Linked DNA regions of Xenopus tropicalis. The main gene of each other region encodes a partner of the protein of the gene in region 2 in a complex. Links are inferred from orthologs where the notes say so. Each region holds a gene or a part of one and is shown on either strand. Other genes may lie near its edges.

Region 1 (4,087 bases), on a different chromosome or scaffold from region 2:
AAAGGTGGTCCTGTGTGTTTATGTGCTAAAAGGGAGTTTCCTTGTTATTCAGCAGCAACCACTAAGTGGCAGTGTGCTGCAATATAAAAGGGCATGCAGACATGTTCTGTTAGGTCTTAGTCCTGGGACTGCCTCTGTTAGGAGGTGTACAACAGGATAGTGTTCTAGTACAGGAGGTACTGTAATAGGTCACTCTAAGAGTGACAGGCAGGCTAGAGAGAATGGGCAGAGATAGCCCCAAAAGGAGAGAGAAGGGTTAAGACCCCCCAGCATTCATGGCTGGAGTCCAGGTCCTGTAGTGTTTAGTAAGAGGAGCCAAGTCAGCACCTGGGAGTGTTCCCAGTGAAGGGGCCCTACGCGTGGACCGGGGTGAGTTCCTAGGTGGGATCACCTGGTGGGAGTACCGGGGGTAGCCAAAAGAGAGAGTGTGTGACTTGAGCCATCTGTGTGACATCCTCTGAAGTGTTCTGCCTGCATCAACAATAAAGCAAGTTCATCTGGTTCATCATTTTAACCAGTGTCTTGGCTGTTCATATACTGAGGATCCTCAACTGTCTGGTAAGCAGCTACCCCAAGGGAGGGGCAAGGTACCGGGAGTTGCTGGGAATCCTGGTCCAAGGAGGACATCATAGAGTTTTCCCAGGGAGGAGATATATAGTTCTACCTATACCTACCCTGGGTGAAGGCACGCCATTTATTTAGATCATACCTCTCCCCCATAGATAAGCGGGGGCTCAGGGCTCCTGTAGCGCCACACGCAGGTGATTTGCGTGTTAAAAGTACCATAGTAGCCAAAATAGGGTTACAAGTATATTAGCTATCTTTATATGAGAGAATGAGGCATGACCAATGTTTCTTCTCTAAATCTCTAATTATTGCTTTAGAACCCTGCAGCCTGAGGAATCTAGGGAAAGTCAAGCACTTATTCATATTGCATACAAAATAATCATTTGATTGGTAAGTCAAGTAATTATCTAAATGTGTGGAAACTATTGCCCAGGGTTGAGGGCAAGATATTCTTTGATCTATGCCTGAATGACTGATCCACCAATATTTTCCTATTTCTGTCTCAGGAATCAGGGGGGCCTGAACAAAAAGTTTGACAACCACTGCTCTACCGGCTAATAAAGCTTTGCTAATGGCCCAAATCAGCACAGACATATAAGAAATAATCCCCCTTAGTAAAAAAAAACAAAACACTGGAGTAGATCACACAAAACAAATAAAATGTAATTCTTATTTAACTGCACTTTACTAAGACACTCAGCAAGTCCATGCCCCGCCCATTCCTGACATCACACTTAGTGGGCATGCACTTTTTGAATCGATCGCTCCGCTAGGATTTCGGCGCTTTGCTGTTGGGGACGTCCCGTCCGTGCGTGCGTATCCATCCGCTGTTTGCGCGATAGTTCGGTACAGCAGGCAGGCAGGCCGCGGGAGCCAGCAGAACAATAGAGTCTCTCGGAAGAGGCGGGAAAGTCTTCTCTTGCGCAGGCTCCTCACAAAGGGAAAGAAAAACACCCCCAACATGTCGGTAGCTGCAACGCGTGACAAGCGGAGTGTCCTGAGCACCGACAATGGCAACGGAGGCAGCGGGGAGCCCGACGGGCAGGAGCTACTGGAGAGCTGCGGGGTGTGCAAGAAGCAGTTACGGGCGGACACGGAGCCCCAGCTCTTACCGTGCCTGCACTCCGTGTGCCGGGCCTGCCTTCCGCCAGAGACCCCTGCGCCTGAGGTGGCCACTAACAGCGGAGACTTGGCTTCAGGTATGAAAGAAAGAGGCGGGAGGCCTGCAGCTCTCCTGCTCTGAATGTGCGGCTCATGTTGCCGCCCACCTTCCGTGTGGTGTCAGTGTGGGAAGGGGACCCGGGTTCTAAGCCTCAGTTTCCGGCCCACCATGCTCAATATCTGAACAAAGAGCTGCCTTGGTGCCCAGGGGAATGCCAGGCCATGCACGGTGCCAGCTTACTGTGTGCACCCTGTCTGCTCCCGGCATGGCACCCTGTCTGCTCCCGGCATGGCACCCTGTCTGCTCCCGGCATGGCACCCTGTCTGCTCCCGGCATGGCACCCTGTCTGCTCTCAACATGGCACCCTGTCTGCTCCCAACATGGCACCCTGTCTGCTCCCAACATGGCACCCTGTCTGCTCCCAACATGGCACCCTGTCTGCTCCCAACATGGCACCCTGTCTGTTCCCGGCATGGCGCCCTGTCTGCTCCCGGCATGGCGCCCTGTCTGCTCCCGGCATGGCGCCCTGAGTGCTCCCGGCATGGCGCCCTGAGTGCTCCCGGCATGGCGCCCTGAGTGCTCCCGGCATGGCGCCCTGTCTGCTCCCGGCATGGCGCCCTGTCTGCTCCCGGCATGGCGCCCTGTCTGCTCCCGGCATGGCGCCCTGTCTGCTCCCGGCATGGCGCCCTGTCTGCTCCCGGCATGGCGCCCTGTCTGCTCCCGGCATGGCGCCCTGTCTGCTCCCGGCATGGCGCCCTGTCTGCTCCCGGCATGGCGCCCTGTCTGCTCCCGGCATGGCGCCCTGTCTGCTCCCGGCATGGCGCCCTGTCTGCTCCCGGCATGGCGCCCTGTCTGCTCCCGGCATGGCGCCCTGTCTGCTCCCGGCATGAGAGGAAACTTCGGCAAATCGCGGTGCCGCATATGCCACCCCACTGGCGATTAACATTCTAGCCGGTGGGATGTCGCAGGCGACCAATCTCCCCATGTGTCACAGCCCTTAGGGCTCTGGCACACGGGGAGATTAGTCGCCCGCGACAAAACTCCTTGTTCGCGGGCAACTAATCCCCCCGAGTTGCCTTCCCCTGCCATCCCACCAACGAAAATGTAAGTCACTGGTGGGATGGCACACGCGGCAGCGCGATTTTGCGCAAATCGACGAAGTTGCCTCGCGAGGGTTTTTCGGCGATTTGTGTGAAAACGCGCCACCGCATGTGGGCAGGGGAAGGCAACTCGGGGAGATTAGTCGCCCACGAACAGGGAGTTTTGTCGCGGGCGACTAATCTCCCTGTGTGCCAGAGCCCTTAGGGTGAACACACAGCTGCTAGCTACTACACACAGAGCTACTAGTAGCAGCTACTTGTCGTGGCTACTGAAATAGACAATGCTGATAATTTACTGATAATCGTCTTTACGTGTGTTTAAGGGCAGTGACAGATGGAGAGATTAGTCCTTGAGAGGAAACTTTGGGTGACTTCGGCAAATCATAGCGACTCGTATGCCATCCCACCAGCGATTTACGTTCTAGTCAGTGGGATGGCATTGCTGGAAGATTAGTCGCACGAAGATTTGTCGCAAGCGACTAATGTCCCAGTTTGCCACTGCCCTTAGTAAAGGCAATTCTCATTTTTTTCTATGGCAGGGGTTTTTTTGAAGTTTAGTAGCTGTGACAAGTAGCTGCTACTAGTAGCTCAGTGTGTCTTCACCCTTAGGGCAGTGACCGACGGGGAGATTAGTCGCCCCGTGTCAAATCTTCGTTGTCGCAGGCAACTAATCTCCCCCGCAATGCCATCCCACTGGCTAGAATATAAATCACCGGTGGGATGGCATACGAGTCACTGAGATGTCCTGAAGTTGTCATGACAGGAAACTTCATGCGACTTTGGGACATTGCAGTGACACGTATGCCATCCCACCGGCGATTTACATTCTAGCCTGTGGGATGGCACTGTGGGAGATAAGTCTCCCCGACTTGCCATCCCGTGCATACGTGTTGCTTTGGTTTAACGAAAGGGTTTCCTTGCTAGGAAACTTTGGGCAATTTAATAACCACAGTTGATTCTTTAAACTACAATTACATTTACAAATAACATTAAAACCATCGTTAAAAAATGTGTAATATATATTTCTAGTTATTTAGATTTTTTTTTTTTCCAGTTTGCAAAAAAAAGTTTTTTGGGTTTTAATACTCCTCGTTGTGTAGCAGTCACAAGAGGCTTGATCATATATGGGTGAGACGCAGCATGCAAGAAGTCCATAGACCATTGCAATTCTGACAGAAATGTCAAACTGTCTTTTTCCTGATTTTAAGTTAAAGGGTGACTTGCAGAAAATATCCCTCAGTTTTTGCTAAACTTTCAT
Region 2 (3,500 bases):
AAAAGACTAAATAAAAGTAAATGGGTTATTTTGAAATTAAAGGGATTGGTAACATTGTTTGCAGGTGTGAGTGTATTTTCTGTGGTTTAACAGTTCTGGGAATGCTATTTTATACAGTAAGAAAGATTGGCATTCACAAAATCAGCATTGCCTCCTCGAAAATACTCTGGTGGATGGAGTAAACATTTGTCATTTTTATTTTAGAATAAAATCACTGTTAAGCACAAAAATATAATGTGCTTAAAATTTTTATTGATTGTACCTTTTTTCCATTTATATGACAGTTTTCCTGTAAAACTAAACTTTGTTTTCTCTCCTAAATGCAGGCCAGGAGTCGCTTGCTTCTGACTGGAACTCCAGTGCAGAACAACCTATTAGAACTCATGTCCCTACTAAACTTTGTAATGCCACACATGTTCAGCAGCAGCACCAGCGAGATCAAGAGGTTGTTTTCTTCTAAAGCGGTAACTAAGATTTCATGTTCAACTGTTCCCCTTAAATTCACCTCTTCCACTAAGCTTATATAATAACTTTCTAATTTTTTTAGCAGCACTACTATTTTAGTTAGTATTTTAATGTAACATTAGTATTTCTCCAACATAAATGTCCCAACAGAGCTATGTATTTATAAGAGACCCCCCCCCATACATACCATAGGCCTCATGTCCCTGTAGCTGATCGCTACCTTTTTTTTACTTTTTCTGTAAGTATTTTCAGAGCACTCACCGATGTTTGTAAGCGCTCTTTATATTGTATTGCGGCCGCCATGTTGGATATTTAAATTTAGTCCAACATGACGCCGCGTAAGTAAATGCGCATCTTCTCCCTCCCCTAGACTTGGGTACTCCTGCTTGTGAGATTGAAAGGTAAATGCACATGCGCTTACTCTGGAGCTGGTCTTCTTATCTCCTGCACCGATTCGAAGACCAGCTCCAGAGTATTATGGGAATCTTTACACAGCTCAGCGTTTTTTCTTCCTGTTTGGCTTCTGATCATCTGAACAGGCGAAATATGGGGAGACTTAAGGGCACTATTGAGATAACTGAAGGTATGCCTGCAGTTTGAGATTAACTTTTTATTAGCCTTTCCTTCTCCTTTAAAATCTGTTGAAAAATCTGCAAAATAAGTCCATATTACACCACCTGCCAAGATCACTCAAAAGGTTCTTTGTAACTTTAGAACTTATTATAGTTACATAGCAATATTAACAAAAAAAGAGCAACCTTGTAGAATGATACCAGTAATCACTAAGGCCTAAAGGTAACATTTGTAGCAAAATGAACTAATCCAGGAAGAGTCACTTGTCCCTGAAGTACTGCACAATTCATCATTCATATTTTATATCTGCAGAAAAAAAATATACATAATTAACAATTACCCTAATACCACCACAAGATCATAAAAGGCAAGACATAGTAAAATCCTCATTTAGACCTCTAGGATGTTTAGTTTTTAGGGCCCAAATCCAATAACATTCCTTTCGTAATAAAATTCTCTTAGTATCCTGTCCCTCCCTTACTTTAATTTGTTCCAATTTTTACCATCTAAGTTGCGAGATCTGATGACCACATTCAAAAAAATTATTGGCCAGGCTTGTTTCTCTTTTTCTCCTTCGCCCGCGACAAATCTCCCCGGATTGCCATCCCACTGGTGAAAATGTAAGTCGCCGATGGGATGGCACACGCTGCGCAGGCGATTTCGTCAAATTGCTGAAAATGCCTCACGAGGCAACTTCGGCGATTTGCCGAAATCGCCTGCACAGCATGTGCCATCCCACTGGCGACTTACGTTTTCACGGGGCGACTAATCTCCCTGTGTGCCAGAGCCCTTAACCAGTTCTTTTTCCTTCTCTTTTTCTGTTTTCACATTTAGTGAAAACCTGTTAACTGATTGATTGTCTGGCTTATAATGTAATCATTTTACTGTGGTGTTTTAACCACCTTTTATATAATCTTATTTCACAATTTTATAAATACAGTGCTGCCTATGTGGAACACTGAGTGGAAATGAATAATTTCCTGGTAAACCTGAAGGTGGCAGTGTTTCTAATGGTGATCTATCACCACTGCTTGTGTCTCAGTATTCCTACATACAAATTAACACTTTGCCCTTTATTCCTACTTACATTTTATTTTAGAAATCCACCGATGAGCAAACTATATTTGAAAAGGAGAGAATTGCTCACGCCAAGCAGATTATGAAGCCATTTATACTGAGAAGAGTGAAAAGTGAGGTAATAGAAAATACAGGATATGATTTATATGACATATACATGCATTGATTGTAAGGTGAATGCAAGATGATTTCAACACCTAACATTAAGCAGCCTGAAGTGTTCATCATTTCAATGTGTTGTAACGCCAAACAACGCAACATACAGTAGACTGTAATCATGCACAGTTTAAGATTGAAACATCAAGCTGATGGGTTCTTATCCCATTGAGCAGTTTTTATAAATATTTAAATTAGACAGGGGTAATGTCCTATTTTGTTTTGCAATACCATGATATTGCAGGAAGGTAGCAGCTTGTTAGAGTTCTTACACAAACAATGGTCTGTTTTTGAGAATTTTAGTTATTATGCATCACATAATATTGCAGAGGTTATAAACACAATGAGGCCCTGCTATTAATTATAATTTCATTACAAGAAGCCAGAAGGCAATGTAGTTTAGCAGGCCAGGGGGGAATAGTATCAAATCATTGAGACCAGGTGAACAGAGCTATAAATAGTCCTTTCATAAAAGGGTCAGAGCCATAACATACTGACAGTACCAGACATAGGTGACACTACCTTAGTTTGTGAGACTCTTTAAGGCAGTCTTCCCCAACCAGTGATCCCTGAGCAACATGTTCCTCACCAACCCCTTGGATGTAGCTCCAGTGGCCTCGAAGCAGGTGCTCATTTTTTAATTTCTGGTAAGAAGGCTAGTATTGGTTGCATAAAAACAAGTATGATGCCAAACAGAGCCTTGTGTAGGCTGCCAGTCAGCTTAGGGGCTATTAAGTAGCCAATTATGGCTCTACTTGTCACCCCCATGAACCTTTTTTTCATGCTTGTGTTGCTCCCTAACACTTTTTCCATTTGAATGTGGCTCACTGGTATAAAAGGTTGGGGATCCCTGCTTTAAGGTAATTAGCAAATTAGAAAAACTGTCAAGTATTTTGGGAATTGTCTGATTCTCTTTAAAAAAAAAAGTCACTGATTTGGTGTGCCGTTTGCCCTACAGCCACACTGTTAGCAATACAAATATTTGTTAAGCATAAGATTCCAGACTGTCATCATTACTCAGCAATTCTGAACAGTTCACTTCCTTGTTCTTCCACACCTGATCCCATGTACTTTACACCATTCAAATTTTCTATATTAAATGTTCTTTAGTCAAATGGCTGTTGTATCTATCGTGAGTCTATCATTGTAATTCAAATAGGTCTACAATTAAACATATCCTTAGCAGGGCTATATAGAATAAATATCTACATTAAATAGTAGTAATTTCT

What was found. Proteins that work in one complex are often made in the same cells at the same time.
Region 1: the proteins of smarcad1 (region 2) and trim28 are in contact, whole or in part, in a crystal structure (PDB 6H3A), measured with the Homo sapiens proteins. The link is inferred for Xenopus tropicalis from reciprocal best matches to the Homo sapiens genes SMARCAD1 and TRIM28. Residues at the interface, in NP_001362784.1 of Homo sapiens: Asp156, Leu157, Ala160, Lys161, Gln163, Thr164, Glu167, Leu168, Phe169, Asp188, Gly189, Ala190, Ala192, Leu196, Ala201, Gly202, Gly203; in NP_005753.1 of Homo sapiens: Arg330, Trp333, Thr334, Lys337, Ile338, His341, Leu376, Lys377, Ile379, Val380, Asp381, Val383.

What each region holds. Positions count from the first base shown.
Region 1 is NC_030683.2:102,982,530-102,986,616, forward strand, and holds the start of trim28 (transcription intermediary factor 1-beta), read left to right. Parts: upstream 1-1,287; 5' UTR 1,288-1,528; coding exon 1,529-1,766; intron 1,767-4,087. UniProt on the Homo sapiens protein: Nuclear corepressor for KRAB domain-containing zinc finger proteins (KRAB-ZFPs).
Region 2 is NC_030677.2:76,745,647-76,749,146, reverse strand, and holds part of smarcad1 (SWI/SNF-related matrix-associated actin-dependent regulator of chromatin subfamily A containing DEAD/H box 1), read left to right. Parts: intron 1-326; coding exon 327-464; intron 465-2,137; coding exon 2,138-2,233; intron 2,234-3,500. UniProt on the Homo sapiens protein: DNA helicase that possesses intrinsic ATP-dependent nucleosome-remodeling activity and is both required for DNA repair and heterochromatin organization.